Linked DNA regions of Sus scrofa. Each later gene encodes a partner of the first gene's protein in a complex. Links are inferred from orthologs where the notes say so. Each region holds a gene or a part of one and is shown on either strand. Other genes may lie near its edges.

Region 1 (7,889 bases):
GATAAAATTAATAAGGGTACAGAGATTTAGAACTGACATAACTCAAAACAGTATGTCCCCCCTACCCCCCCAAAAATCTGACGGCAACGGGAAAACAAGCTGGCTAATAGAAGAATGTGTCATCTTTGGCTTTTTGATTTTTCTGGCCAATATACAATCTTAGAATTGCTTCAACAATCCAAAAAGAACTATGAATTTATGGATTTTGAAATGTCTAGTGCATTATCACAACAAATGTGATAAAAATGTTCTAGCAGTATTAAAGTAAAACAATCAGTGAAGGTGTCATTGTTTTAGTGGAGAATTTAAAATAAACATTCTATTGTTTACACACTTTTTTTTTTTTTAGGGCTGCATAGGCAGCGTATGCAAGTTCCCAGGCTAGGAGTCCAATTAGAGCTGCAGCGGTTGGCCTAAGCCACAGCCATAGCAAATTGGGATCCAAGCCTCGTATGTGACCTACACCACAGCTCCCAGCAATGCTGGATCCTGAATCCACTGAGGGAAGCCAGGGATTGAACCTGCATTCTCATGGACCCTAGTTGGGTTCATTATCACTGAGCCACAATGAGAACTCCTGTTTACACCTCTTATATCTTCTTGGTCTAACATATCAGATGTTGTTCATAATATTATTTAGCAAATGCTGTCAACCTTTCGCTAGCAAGGAATCTTTAGTCAATTATCAGGGGAACACTTCACATGTATGTTCTGTATTTTTGAAGACACACTGACAGCTTTTAATGTAAAGATGACTTCATGGTATCCAAACTCAGACCTTTCTGTGTCTTTTCTGATCTATTCACTGACACTTTTTAAATCCTCAGTACTCTTAGATATCCTAGCTAGTAAAATTCCACATTCAGGGTCTCTCCTTTCTGAGCAATCTCTAGCACAAAATGCCTTTTCCAACATCAGCAGTCCCTTGTTATCACATCACGGAAGTCCTCATGTAGAATCCAGGCAGCTAATCACACACAACAGGTGGGGCACCTGTGCTTTCATTAGGGAGGAAACCTTTCCGGTTTCAACTCTCCTAGTTTCCCTGGAGGGCAAAGTCCAACACTGCAAGATGTCTTCGCTGTAGGTGCACCTGCAGATGACTATGTAGAGACATCAGAAACAACTAATGTTCAGTTTACTAAGAAGTGATCATCTATTGTGGGGCTCAGCAGTTTAGTGCTTAAGATTGTGGGCAGGTATTTCCTCTCCATACCCTCCTCCTGCCACTGCCCTATCTTCCTGTGCTCATTGGTGCCACTATCATAGCTCTTAACCACCATGTTCTGTGGTTGTGTTGGCCCTGGAGCCTTCCCCCTCTGCCCAGGGACCTTCTCTGGGCAGAAGGGGTGTTTCATTTCCTAGTGTTCCAAAGCTAGCACAAAGCCCATCTATAGTAAGGTCCCACTACTTATTTGTGCAACCGTATTGAAGTTACTGAAAAATGCCTAACAGTTCTTTGGAAGATCAAGCAATCAAGGGTTACTTTCACTTTTCAGAACAGTAGGTTCCTCAAAATTGGGGCGTTTGGAAAAGTCATCAGATCACCTTTTGCTTCCATCGTTTTGGGTTAACTTTCCCCATTTATCCACGTGGCTCCTTTAAAATGTTTCGTGCCCTGTTAGCCCCGCCTTAATGGGCTCCTTCAGTGACCCCATATTCACCTTGCAGGTATCCTTTCCAGATATTCAAGGCCCATATTCCTACTCGGCCACGACTGGGGCTCTCATTTTTCGTCCACGGATCTCAACGACCAAGCTGGGGTTTTCAGCCACTACTGTGAAGCGCTGGGGACGACTGGGCACTACGCCCCTCTCCAGCTCCGGTTACCAAGATTCTCCCCACCTACTCTCTTTGGGACAATGCTCCGGCAACCTCCCAGGGCAAGGGGATTCGGCAAGGTTCTGGGCTAGCGTTCGGTAGTCAGCCCCAGAGAGCAGGCGTGGGGGTAGGAGGAATCCCTAGGGTGAGTGAGGACGCCTCGGGACTAGTGAGCACTTACTCGTGGCCCGGACCCTTCCGGCCGGGAACGACCTATAGGGGCTGTATCGCCTCTTCCCCACCACCCTAGGGACTAGGGAAATGCAAGACAGCGAGGCGGGAGATAGAGCGAAGAGACAATCCCCAGACCAACCACGACGTCCGCCTTCCCTCATTCAGGGTCTGTCGATCTCTCTCTCTCTCACAAGCCCTACTTCAACTCCAGCCTTGCGCAAACTGAGCTGCGCGCCTCTCTCACTGCGAGTCCTCCAGCCCCGGCCCCAGCCCGCTCCTCTCGTCTCACCCCAGCTTTTTCACTCAACCCCAGTTTCCTCACCCAACTGACCATGAAGCCGGAGGCAGTTTCCCAGTCCCAGGTCCCCGGTGAGGCTCCCGCCGCCGCCGCCGCCTCCCCCTGCAGCCTCCGACCCGGCACCCGGCCTCGGGCTGCTGCGATGGCTCCCCAGCACGAGGCGCAGCGGCTCCCTGGACTCGGCCAGACACAGGGCGGCGCGCAGGAGAAGCCCATCGAGCTCCCGGCAGTAGCGACGGCGGCTGCTGCAGGAGCGGCCGCCGCGCAGACTGATGACGCGTGAGCGCGGGGGCGTGGTCACGGGGCGACGCGGGCTGATGACGTGAGGCGGCGGGGCAGCTCGGCAACATGGCGTCTGTGGCTCTAAGTGAGGCGGAGAAGGTGTACATCGTGCATGGTGTTCAGGTAGCGGCAGCAGCTGCATTGGCGCGGCCCGCTGGGTTCCCCTGGCTCTGCGGGTCGCTTCCCGCTCTCAGTTCGCCTGGGAGGACTGCGGCCGATTGGGTTTACTTTGTGATTAAACCACTCGCAGCCGGCGTGTGCATTCTGAAGCTGGCAACGCGGGCATGTTTGGGGCCTGTTGGCGAGCATCCATTTAGACCTATATGCATACTTGCATCTTTCTGGGTCTGTAAGGTTCCTAACCAGGGTAGGAAGTGGTGGGTAGTTCCTGATTCTATTAAATCCCCTCTCAGCCTTCGAGGTCTGAGCTGTCCCACATTTTTTAGGTACATATTCTATCATAATTTTTATCTCGTCGTATCTTTCTAACAGTCCTGAAGGTAAGTATTATCTCTGCTGATAAAGAACTGAGGTCAGAGAGGTTAAGTCACTTGTCCAAGGTCACCTAGTAAGTGTGTGGTGGTGTTACCCAAAAACTGGATTTGCGTTTTGGTGGGTGTGGAGCCAAAAGACACAACCTAGACAAAGATTGAGAGAAGGAAGGATTTATTACTTGCTGCAAGTAGGACACCCGTGAGATCTTTTCCAAAGCAGTGTCTCAAACAGCAAAATTGGGGAACAAGCTAAGGGCACATGTGTATTTGAAGGGGCTTGAGCAGAGGAGAATTCAGCAAGAATTGGGGCAAAATCAATAGGGTGAAGCTTTAGTTGATAGGAGGCTTGAGGGTCAGAAAAGGTCAACGAAAACGTTCCTTAGGTTCCGACCAGTTTGGGGGTGTTAGCCTGTAGTTACTGTACTCCATCTGGTTGAGGGCTTTAGCTCCTATAGAACAATTCAAAGGTACATATTACATTGTCATGTATATCCCTTGAGGAGGAACTTGAACTCTGTTTTACTGCAGAACTATTGTTTCTTTCCTACTTTTCTTTTGTCCTGCATTTTGTTGTTGTTGTTGTTTTTAGGGCTGCACTCAGGGCATATGGAAATTCCCAGACTAGGGGTTGAATCAGAGCTGCCGCTGCCAGCCTGTGCCACAGCCATAGCCACACTGGATCCAAGCCAAATTTGTGACCTACACTGCAAGCTCATTGCAATGCCAGATCCTTAACCCATTGAACAAGTTTAGGAACTGAGCCCTCGTCCTCATGGATACTGGTCGGGTTCATTAACACTGAGCCACATTGGGAAGTCCCTGTTTCTGCATTCTTTTTTTTCCCTCAAGATCATTATTTACTGAGACCTGTTCAAGGGCAAGCATTGTAGCCAGGCTTAGATTACAAAAAGACTTAGGCCAAAATGGCTTCTCTTATGTCCAGAAAGCCATGCCTTACTCTCTTTTTCCAGAGACAACCCCCAACCCCCTCCACCCTCTATGCTTACAGTAGAGCTGGGATATAAATCCAGATCTTTCTGATTGCAAAGCCTAACTCGACTCTCATGCCACTTGCCCTTTTTTAAAAATAGGAATTCAAAGGGGAAAGCCAAAGAGACTCCCCACTTCTACTTTTCTTTCTTCTGTCCTCTGAAAGTATGTTGGGGAAACAGAACAGGGGGAGGGCAAGTTCTGAACTCCCTCCCATTTTTGTAGATCTTGACTAGGATATGGACATATATTGGTATAGTGTTTTTTTACATAGTATTTTTCTACCTTGGTTGGTTCTAGGTTTCTTTAGAACCCTATTTTGCATTTCTTTGTACAAACTTTGTTTTAATAACTTGTATCAAACTAGTTTTTTCTCTGTTTACAACATTCAGGAATTTGGGGGCAAATTGCAGAATTTCCAGAATTAGGGCTTAATCGTTTCGGATTCGTTTAACTACCTAAATGTGTGCTCTCTTTGTCCAAGAGGATACTGTTAACGTCCACGCTATCCTAGTGACACCTAAACCTTGAAGTGCCTTTTACTCATAAAGTACAGCTTCCTGGGCTTTAACTGGACCTTCTGGATCAGAATCTTTGGGGCTGGGGCCTGGAAATAGGTATTTTCATAAACGTTAGGGGATTTTAATGCAGCCACCAGCCATTGGCCCATGGGGAAGCCACTGGCCTGGTCCATCTTGGAGCCCAGAAACGTCTGCTCCTGGCTGAGGTCATATGGCCTTCTGCCTCTGTTTGAATGAGGACTTGGGGTCCGACTGAACAGGGCCCCATCCTGGGCTCCACCATTCACAGTAAGAGAGATTCTAACCTGAGTAGCTGAGTTAGCGCCCCCTGTGTAAATTGAGAATTTAGCCATCTGGGGGCAGAAAGGGTTGTGAGGAACGATGAGATAAGAAAATATGGAGTACTTGGAGTGTTGTCAACCCTGAAGAGCAGTTGGCTCCTTGTCAAGATATGTTCATCAGAAGTGTGGCTTTTCCTAGAACCACCCATACTATATCCCCAACCTTTGTGGTGACCCCATGAGGGGTTCAGCGTGTAGCTGTTGAAGTTTAAGCTCTTTGGATTTGGAGGGCTAGAGATTGTTAAATTATATCAAGAAAAGGGGGTTTGTGGCCAGGTAGGGGCACTGCCTCTCCAGGGCTCTAACATGGACCACATGGACTGTGTGACTGCCTGTCTGTGTCTCTGGTAACACCTCCACTTCTTTCTCCTAGAGTGTCTCCCTTCTCTGTAGCCACTTGCTGTCCAGCTGCCCTTCACCTTGGTACAAGCCATCCCCCCACCTTTACTTCTGTGAGACCTCCATAACCTGTCAGTTCCTCTTTAACTCTTCCCTCCCCCCCCCACAAAAAAAGATCAGAGATCAGATCCAGGAATTCCTGCTGTGGCTCAGCAGATTAAGAACCTGACTGTAGTGTCCATGAGGATATGTGTTCGACCCCTGGCCTCAATCAGTGGGTCAAGGATCTGGCATTGCTGCAAGCTGTGGCTTAGGTCACAGATGAGGCTCAGATCTGGCATTGCTGTGGCTGTAGCATAGGCTGGCAGTTGCAGCTCCGATTCGATCCCTAGCCTGGGAACTTAAATATGCCTCAAGTGCAGCCCTAAAAAGCAGGGAAAAAAAAGAAAAAGGAGAGAGAGAGAGCACATTCCAAGGAGAGGATTGGGTTTTATGCCCCCAAGAGCTGGCCACTCTCTGGATCATTATGTCTTTCAGTCAGGTGCTCTGCAGGCTGGGCAGGATCCCATCCTAGAGGAATGTGGACCTACTTAATAGGCTTGGAAAGTGGAATAAGGATCGACCTTTTGTTTTGCCTGCTCTGTCTTGGTCCTGAGCCTGCAGAGCTGGGCTCTTTCCTAAGCAGGGTGGCTTTTAGGGGAGGCCTCTGGTCACAGTTTTCCTCCAGCAAGCTCTGTGCTCTTGGTCAAGCAAAAGCAAGGTTGTGGGGGTTAACATCACTTCAGGGGACTGCTTTGAGTCTAAATCCTCCCAAGCATGTTGGGTTAGCAAGCCAACTGCCAGCTTCTGTCAGGGAGTAGGACTGGGTTACCTGAGTTTGAGGAACAGCAGCTCTGGATGGATTCACCTGCCCTTCATTCTGTCACACACAGGAGGTTGAAAATTATCGCTTTGAGTTCTGTCTGTAACCTCTCTCCAGGTTGTTTTTGAAGATTCAGTGAGCTAATACATGCCAGCAGAACCAAGAGAAGGAACTGCTGAGTGGGGTCTCCTGTGTGCAGAAGGTTCCCCTCGAGTGATCTATGGCTTCCGGACTTTCCTATAACTCTTTAAGGCCAGGGCTGTTTCCACTTTCTAGACCAAGAGACTCAGAGATGTTAACAGACTAACCTGCTTGAGGTCACCAGGCTGGCATGGGACAGCAGAAATTTAAATATAGATTGGAGATGACTCCACACTACACCCAACTAGGCAAGGTTGTTGTGATCCCATGATCACAACTTGAAAATCATTAGGAGCCAAGGTAGCATCTGGAAGGCCTTTACCTAGAAAGCTGCTCTGTCCCCTCTGTGTGGACAGGGCCATGCTCCATGGTGTTGGTGTCACCTGTGGGCATCTGTTGACTTTAAATGGAGCTTTCACTTCAGGGCAGCCTATGTTTAAGTGTTCACACATGGATTGATTCCTTTGCTCTTGAGCATTGAATGTGAATACAAATTGTGGTAGGGCAGGCTCTGAGCCAGGCCAAGCTGGTTTGGGTAATTTCCTAAGCCTTTTATGAGGTAAAGTGGATTAAGAAAAGTTGTCCTATATGCAGTGATTCATGAACTAGTTTGTTTGCTTTTCTCCTGTTTCATGATTTTTTTCTATAAAAAAATTATACTTTATGCATTCCTGGGAAGGGAAATTTATAGCTCTTTTTATCTCTTGTCACCTAACCCGTCCCGAGGAGGCAGAGAGTGATTTGAAGGCAAGAAAGCAAGAGCTGCTGAGGCCCAGTTTTCTGACACCCCTCCAGCCTTATCCTGGAACAGTGGGTTGTCACTACAGAGGGTTGTGACTAGATCTTTACAGAGTGATCATTTAAAGCAATAGTCGGAAGCCCCGGGGCCCTGAGGCCTCCTTGCTCTCATAGTCCTTATCACCATCAGCAGGACCAACTGGTATAGTGAGCCAGTTCATCCTTTGAGAGAGGCCTGTGCTGCCTTCTTTGCACACCGCAAGAGACCCTTTAGAATGCAGGAGGCAGTGTGGGATTGTGGTTAAGAGCCCTGGCTTGGAATTCAGATGCTATTTACTGGCCGTGACCTTGGGCCAGCCATTTAGCATCTCTCTACTATTTCCCATTTGTAAAATGGAAGGAAAAATTGCTCTCTTACATTGTGAGGTTATTGTGAGGATTCAGTGCATTCACTGGTGCATTAGCTGTGTAGTATTCCCAGCACATTATCTGGGAGAGAGTAAATGCACATTAGAGTAAATGCGCATTAAACAGTAGCTACTATTAGCTTTTGCAAACACTTGTGAATGTTTTTATTTATAGATTCATAGAATTAGAGGAGCACCTTGGAGGGCATCTAATTCAATGTGTACTTTTGCAGATGAGGAAGTAAGTCTGAATGGAGGGGAAGGGACTCGTTTCAGGTCCAGCAGCTAGTTAATGGCAGGACCAGGCCTGAAGTCCATGACTAACACTCCTAGTGATTTCTCATACTTATGCCATACCAGTAGCCCTTTCTCCCAGGACTCTGTGGTAAATGGTCTTTCCGGGCCAGGTTTTCACTTTCCTAGCAGGGCACACCTAAGGCATGGGGCAAGCAGAGATTGACTAGAAAGCCTTCATGTGGGT
Region 2 (7,778 bases), on another chromosome or scaffold:
TTTTACCTCATCTAACAGCCATAGGAGGCCAGCTGCCCAGAATGCCCAGAACAAAACCCAGAGTCCTTGGACGACAGTCTCGTCAGGTCTGCAGATGAAAGGCCTTGCCGGAAAAGAAATTATCTGATTTCCCCATATGGCGACTTTGTCCTCAGCAACTCCACTGACTTATTTAACAGGTAGCTCAAAACCCAGCAGAAACTGGAGGAGGCTGCATCACTGTAGGGATGGTTTCATTTCAGTAACTGGAGCAAGGTACTCTGCTTGCACCCTGGCTCATCCTCACGAAAAGCCTCTAAAGACCGAAGGCAAAAACAAATCCAGCAGACAAGGCCAGCAAAGAGAAGATACCCAATTCAGTAGGGATCGAGTCTCTGTACCAGGATAAAGAAACTGGCCATTCCCATCACCTCTGAGGAACTAAGATTAGAATTAAAGGGCAGTGTAGAAAAGAGAAAAAGGAAAACTTCCTACCTCAAACTTCCTACCTCCTTTTGAGTCAGACTCCTATTGGGTGGGATCATGATTTGGCCTGAAGCATTAATTTTCAAATAGTATACAGCCACAATCAAATGTAAGAGTGGGACAAAACATTTTACCCCATAGCAAATACAGGTGACTTTTTTTTTTTTTCCTCCTGGCTGCACCTGCAGTACATGAAAGTTCCAGGGCCTGGGATCAAGCCCGTGCCACAGCAGTGACCCAAGCCACAGCACTGACAACGCCAGATCCTTAACCTGCTGTGCCACCAGAGAACTCCTGAAATCCAGGTGGCCTAGATCATCCACACCATTACTCATTCCCTTACTATGGCTAATGGGGAGGTTCTCAACATCTTCCAGAATTACTGAGGCCCTCAGGAAATGCTTGCCTCAAGGGCTAGACTTACCAACTCTCACCTGCCCTGTAACTTGACCACTTAGGGCTCAACTCTGCCCTTAAATAGTTCTGTGACCTTGGCCAGGTCACCAAACCCCGTTGGGACTCGACTTTCTTGTGTTCCCATTCAATGAGGGGACAGGATTAAATACTAAGGTCCCTTACAGCTCTACCCCTTTATGATCCTATATATATACTTATATACACTTGATAAGGTATAAATGAAATGTTTATAAAGTGCTTAGCACAATACCTGGGTCATGGAAGTACTCAATAAATACTTGCTGAATGAGTGACCTGGAGGGATGCTGAAGTGGAAAGGCTGGTCAGATGTCTATCTGGCTTACAAATAACAGCAAGGACACCCCTGCCAATGTGATAACACTAAATAGGCGTCCATTGCTACATTCTTCATGATCAATAAAAAGAGAAATGAAAACCATTATTAGAATCACAGCACTTAGGAGCCAGAAGTCATTTTATCTTTTTTTTTTTTTTTTTTTTTTGCCTTTTCTAGGGCCGCTCCCGCGGCATATGGAGGTTCCCAGGCTAGGGGTCGAATCAGAGTTGTAGCTGCAGGCCTACAACACAGCCACAACAACGTGGAATCCGAGCCGCATCTGTGACTTACACCACAGCTCACGGCAATGTCGGATCCTTAACCCACTGAGCAAGGCCAGGGATCGAACCGGCAACCTTATGGTTCCTAATTGGATTCCTTAACCACTGCACCATGACGGGAACGCCCAGAAGTCATTTTAGAAAGCTAGTCCAACCAGAAATCAAGCCAAACAATAGTTCCCATTGCGGCTCAGTGGTAATGAACCCAACAAGTATTCAAGAGGTTACAGGTTCTATCCCTGGCTCCACTCAGTGGTTTAAGGATATGCATTACCACAAGCTGTAGTTTAGGTCACACACAGCTCAGATCTGGCGTTGCTGTGGCTGTGGCATAGGCTAGCAGCTGCAGCTCCAAATTAGACCCCTAGCCTGGGAACTTCGATATGCTGCAGATTTGGCCCTAAAAAGAAAAAGAAAGAAAGAGAAAGAAAGAAAGAAAGAAACCAAACATGTAAACTGAAAGCTTGTAGATGCAAAGCTACAGATCAGATTATTGTAAAGGAAGACTGAGGCCAAGCCCCTGCCCCTTATTTTAGGGATTTGTGCACAGGGCACGCAGGGGAGGGTGTACGCCAGGGAAGAGAATACTTAGTCCATGGGGCTATAACTTAACATATGAAGTTTTCATCTCATGAAACTGAGGTAAAGCAGAACTCAAAAAAACAAAACTGTGTGCTGGGGGTCAGGGGGGCGGGAGTGAACAGGACAGGAAATAGAGCCACCCACTACTGATCCCCAGCCCTAGCTCTGAGCATTCTGATCCCTGAGTAGTAGCCACAGGCCATCAGAAGAGACATCTGACATCTGCCACAGATCAGAGGAGATGGAAAGCCACTACACTCAAAGGCTCTAAGTCACCATCTCTCTTCCAAAGGGAAACCGGATATGCGGGACATGTGGGGTGAGAAGGGATTCGAAAGCCACCAGAAGGCAAAGGAAACCGAGAAAAATGTCGACAAATCTCATATGGACAAAGATGCCGTTCTCAGGGTATTTGCAGTCTCAAGTACTGGACGTCAATCATCAGAGAGAGCAGCTTTTATTCATGCGCAGACTTCCCTGCCAGACTAACACGCTCCACTTGACAAGATCCGACCGCAAGATGCAAGCTGCAGTTACAAAAACCAGGAAAAGGTTTTACTTCACATAAAGGCTGGCCTGGTCAAAGGGTGATGGACTGGAAGTAAAATAACTTGGATACCGATTTGGTCTCTACCTTGAACTATCTTAGAGACACTGCACAAGTCAAATCCTATCTCTGGAGCTGAGCTTCCAAATCTGTGAAATGGGTGAGTTGGGTTGGCTGACCTCCTTCAACTCTGCACCGTAAGACTGTCGGAAGGTGCGCTCCGCCCGGTTTGAAGGCAAGGCCGTACAGAGCAGGAACTCGGGCTCACAAGGCCGGAATAGGGCCCGACCCTAGCAAAAGGGACAGGACTGAGCAGCAAAGGCCGTGGCTTCGCTCTTACCTGCCTCCCCAATCAGTCAAATCGAATCCTGCAGCCTCCGCTGCAGCTCACTGCTACCCCCTCCAGCTCCGCGCCACAGCCCGGCCCGGCTCAACCCAACCAACCATGTCCAGCAGCCCACAGCTCCAGCCTGCAGACCCGGACCCGCCGCCTGCCCATTCTCTTCCACAGGCGCAAGCGCAAGCGCAGGAGTTCCGGAACTCCGCCCCCAAGCCCGTCCCGGGGCAACCTGGGAAATGGAGTTTACCCCTCCCCTCAAGAGTGAGTCTGGCGAGCACGTGACAGAAGTCACCAATTGGCGCGTTTCTTACTGCGGGAGTGCACACCTGATGTTGGCCAATGAGCAGTCGACCTCATTTTCCTTCGGACTTCGGACAGAGGCAGTCATGGCACCACCTGTGAGGTATTGCATCCCCGGTAAGTCGGCGGTTCCCAGAGGGAATCCTGGGCAGAGGCAAAGGCAGGAAGGCCGGACGACCAACAGCTTCTGCGGTCCTGTGGCTGATGCAGCGGTTTTTTGGGTTTTTTTTTTTTGCGCAGGCGAACGTCTGTGTAATTTGGAGGAGGGGAGCCCCGGCAGCGGCACCTACACCCGGCACGGCTACATCTTTTCGTCGCTTGCTGGCTGCCTGACGAAGAGCAGCGAGAACGGCGCGGTAAAGGGGCTGGTTTCCTCTCTCCTCGGTTTCTGCCTTTCTCATGCTGCTTTTGATGTCACGATCCTTAGGCAAGGGCCCTGCGGGCGCGATTCGGGATCCTCGTTCAGTAGAAGGAGTTGGTCTCAGAGTCCCCAGTGAGCCACAGAGTCTTTGTACACACGCCGTCTGTCTGGAACGCGCTACTCTCTTCCTTATCCTGTGTTTGTTTATTTTGACGGGGCCGCACCTGGGGCATGTGGAGATTCCTGGGCCAGGGATGGAATCCCCGCCACAGCAGTGACCCCAGCCACTGCAGTGACAAAGTGAGATCCTTAATCCACTCACCCACAAGAAAACTCCTCCCTTAGCCTATTTAATTCCTACCTAACTTTCAGATAGCCCCACTGGTACCACTTTCTCATATAAGCCCTCCTAAACACCACTAATAAAAAGAATTTTGGAAGTTCTCTTGTGGTTCAGTGGCTTAGGATGCTGCTGTGGCTTGGGTGGGTCTGATCTCTGGAATTAACTCATTCTGCAGGAACTCATCTGAAATGATTGGATTATGCCTTCGAGCAGCATTCTGTGGCCCCTTGGCTCTCCTATGTTCTAAAATTTCTTTTTTTAAGTCTTTTTTTATTAAAGTATAGTCAACTGTCAGTATTCGTCAATTTTTGCTGTGCTGCAGTGACCTAGTCATACATACATATACATTTTTTTTCTCATATTTTCTTCTATCATGTTCTATCACAAGTGATTGTGTATAGTTCCCTGTGCTATACAGCAGGACCTCATTGCTTATCCATTCTAAATGTAATAGTTTGCATCTACTAACCCCCAGCTACCAGTCCATCCCACTCCCTCCCTGTCCTAAAATTTCTAAGGCTTTCTGCTCTGGGCTACAAAAGAATCTAGTCCTCCTGTCCTTGTGTCAACTGTGGCCCGAGGCATATGCATATTACTGTCAAGCCACAAATACCTTTACTGAAGGCTTAGGCAGGATACTCATGTTTTATTGTTCTCGCTGTAGCTTCCTGTCATATCTGTGATGAGAGAAACGGATTCCCAATTATTGCCAGATGTGGGAGCTATTGTGACCTGTAAGGTAAGTTCATCCTAAACTCCCTGCTTAAGGTACCATCCAATGCTGAAATCATGATCATTGTAAAATAGCACTGTCCAGTATGGTAACCAGTAGCCATATGTGGCCGTTTAAATAAATTAAAATCTGTCATCACAGAAGGTTTTCCCGGCTTGTGCTAGTCTAGAGATTTCTAGGATAATGATCAATGCGGTCCAGTTCAAGCTTGCATGGTTCTTTTACAGAGCTGGTTCCCTGAGTATGTAGATTTACTTTTGACTGGGAAACAGAGGCACCAAAGGGTGATAAGGAAGCTTTTTTTTTTTTCATGTTCTTTTCTATTATGATTTAGCACAAAATATTAAATATAGTTTCCTGTGCTGTACAGTAGGACCTTCTTGTTTATTCCTTCTGTATATTATAGTTGGCATCTGCTAATCCCAAACTCCCAATCCCTCTCTCCCTCAGTGCCCCCTCACCCTTGGCAACCACAGATCTGTTCTTTATGTCTGTGAGTCTGTTTCTGTTTCATAAATAAGTTCATTTGTGTCATATTTTAGATATCGTAAATAAGTAATATCATGTATTTGTCTTTCTGTTTTTGACTTATTTAGTACGATCATCAAGATCCATCCACATTGCTGTAAATGGATTATTTCATTCTTTTTTGTGGCTGAGTAGTATTCCATTGTATATATGTATCACATCTTCTTTATCTAGTTATCTGTCAGTGGACATTTAGGTTGATTCCATGTCTTGGCTATTGTAAATAACGGCGTAATAAACATTGGGGTCCATGTATCTTTGCAAATTGTAGTTTTCCCAGGTATATGCCCAGGAGTGGGATTGCTGGATTGTGTGGCAATTCTTTTTTTAGTTTTTTGAGGAACCTCCATTCTGTTTTCCATAGTGGTTGCACCAACTTACTTTCCCACCAACAGTATAGGAGGGTTACCTTTTCTCCACACACCCTCCAACATTTGTTATTTGTAGACTTTTTAATGATGGAGGAGGCCTATATTTGAGCATCTGAAGCAAAACTTTTTCGGCAGAGAAACAAAAGATTTTATAAAGTCTTTGAGGGAAAGTACAAATTAATGCTGCACTTATCAGTAGCTATAATACATCAGTATTCCCTACCCATCCCCACTCTCTGCCAGTTAAATTAACTCATAGCTCTTTGTTTCTCTCTATAAATCACTCTAACAGAAATCTATTTTCAAAATCTGTCATGTTGAAAACTGCAGAGGCAGTGATCTAAATAGAATGCAGCAACTGAAACGGAGACTTAAATTCTGTTCACACTACAGGGCTCTTAGTAAGTTTGTTAAAAGTCTAGCTAGATTTGCTATATTTCCTTGTGTAGACTTGTATGTTTTTCTAAATCTGTACCGTATTATTTCATTTGATTCCCACAGTAACTGTTAGGTGTAGAGTGGCTCTTGTTTCATTTTTTGTAATCACTTATCCAGGGATAAATAAATAGCAGTTAATTTGTCTTAACTTCTGTACTTAGGAGTTCCCATCATGGTGGTGCAGAAACATCCAACTAGGAACCATGAGGTTGCGGGTTCCATCCCTGGCCTCACTCAGGGGGTTAAAGATCCGGCATTGCCATGAGCTGTGATGTAGGTTGCAGACACGGCTCAGATCTGACATTGCTGTGGCTATAGTGTAGGCCTGCAGCTTCAGATCAGATTGGACCCCTAGCCTGGGACCCTCCATATGCTGCCACTGTGGCCCTAAAAAGGCAAAAAACAAAACAAAACAAAAAATTCTACACTTAGTAGAGTTGCCTTGGACTAAAATCCTGGTAATTCCTAGTTTATCATGCCTCCTTGAGCTGGCAGCTACTAATACTGGAATGCCTAATGCTGCAATTTTCTCTATTCCAGGTCTCTAGCATCAATTCACGCTTTGCCAAAGTACACATTCTGTATGTGGGGTCCACACCACTTAAGAACTCTTTTCGAGGAACTATCCGGTAAGAAGTATTTTTGTCTTCATATTAGCTGCAGTACTTGGAATGAGATTAAGATAGAATGGGAGACCGGAATTTTTAAGAACAATTAGAATCCTTATTCATGCCTACTTCTCTCGTCTCTGTGCATTGGTTCTCCCCAAGTAGTATCCAGAGAAAATGTTGTATGTGTTAGGACAAAAAGGAAATATTAACGAGATAGTATTTAAATAAAACAAAAAGAGGAGTTCCCGTTGTGGCTCAAGGGTAATGAACCTGACTAATATCCATGAGGATGCAGGTTTGATCCCTGGCCTTGCTCAGTGGGTTAAGGATCCAGCATTACCATGAGCTGTGGTATAGGTCGCAGATTCGCCTCAGATCTGGTGTTGCTGTGGCTGTGGTGTAGGCTGGCAGCTGCAGCTCCAATTCAACCCCCAACCTACGAATTTCCATATGCCATAGGTGTGGCTCTAAAAAGAAAGAAAAACAAAAAATAGAAACATAAAAAAGAGGAGTTTTGCTGTAGCACAGCAGGTTAAGGATCCCAAGTTGTCACTGCTACAGCTTGGGTTTGATCCCTGACCCCAGGAACTTCCACAGGCCAAGGGCTTGGCGAAAAATAAATTAGTTAAAAATATAAAATGAATAGAGCTAAGCTGGGGATTAGCCTTGTGGGGATGATTCCTATCAAAGTAGAAAAAATTTTAGGAAGTACCTTTTTTTCTTCAATTTAATATAGATTAAACCCAAGGATTATAAGACAATAAAAAGGTTAATGAATGCAATGCTATATTTTGTTTTCCTATGAGTTCTTTGAGACGGGACTAACAGTTCCTGGGAGCTAGATAATTTAACATCCAAGGCTCTTTCCACCCTTGGGTTCTGTGTGGTTTTGTGGTGCTTTGGTTCAAGCTCTCCTAAGGCAACAAAGTTCCTTAGCCCTTTCTGCCAAAGTTGATTCGCTTTGCTGTAGCTGCACTATATGGTCCAAGAATGGGAAATGTGGTTTTCTCCGGGTGAGGACTGAGGATACCTCGATCTCCTCCTCTGGGTGGCAGCTGGGTCCCAGTTAGATTTGGTCTCTCTGCTCTTATAGCTAGAAGTTGCAGGATAATTCTTTCTTGCAA

Evidence for each region.
Region 2: EXOSC7 (region 1) and EXOSC1 share a complex: the UniProt entries of both Homo sapiens proteins name them as parts of the RNA exosome core complex. The link is inferred for Sus scrofa from reciprocal best matches to the Homo sapiens genes EXOSC7 and EXOSC1.

What each region holds. Positions count from the first base shown.
Region 1 is NC_010455.5:28,174,175-28,182,063, forward strand, and holds the start of EXOSC7 (exosome complex component RRP42), read left to right. Parts: upstream 1-2,631; 5' UTR 2,632-2,641; coding exon 2,642-2,698; intron 2,699-7,889. UniProt on the Homo sapiens protein: Non-catalytic component of the RNA exosome complex which has 3'->5' exoribonuclease activity and participates in a multitude of cellular RNA processing and degradation events.
Region 2 is NC_010456.5:108,838,338-108,846,115, reverse strand, and holds the start of EXOSC1 (exosome complex component CSL4), read left to right. Parts: upstream 1-3,288; 5' UTR 3,289-3,298; coding exon 3,299-3,386; intron 3,387-3,509; coding exon 3,510-3,625; intron 3,626-4,637; coding exon 4,638-4,712; intron 4,713-6,583; coding exon 6,584-6,672; intron 6,673-7,778. UniProt on the Homo sapiens protein: Non-catalytic component of the RNA exosome complex which has 3'->5' exoribonuclease activity and participates in a multitude of cellular RNA processing and degradation events.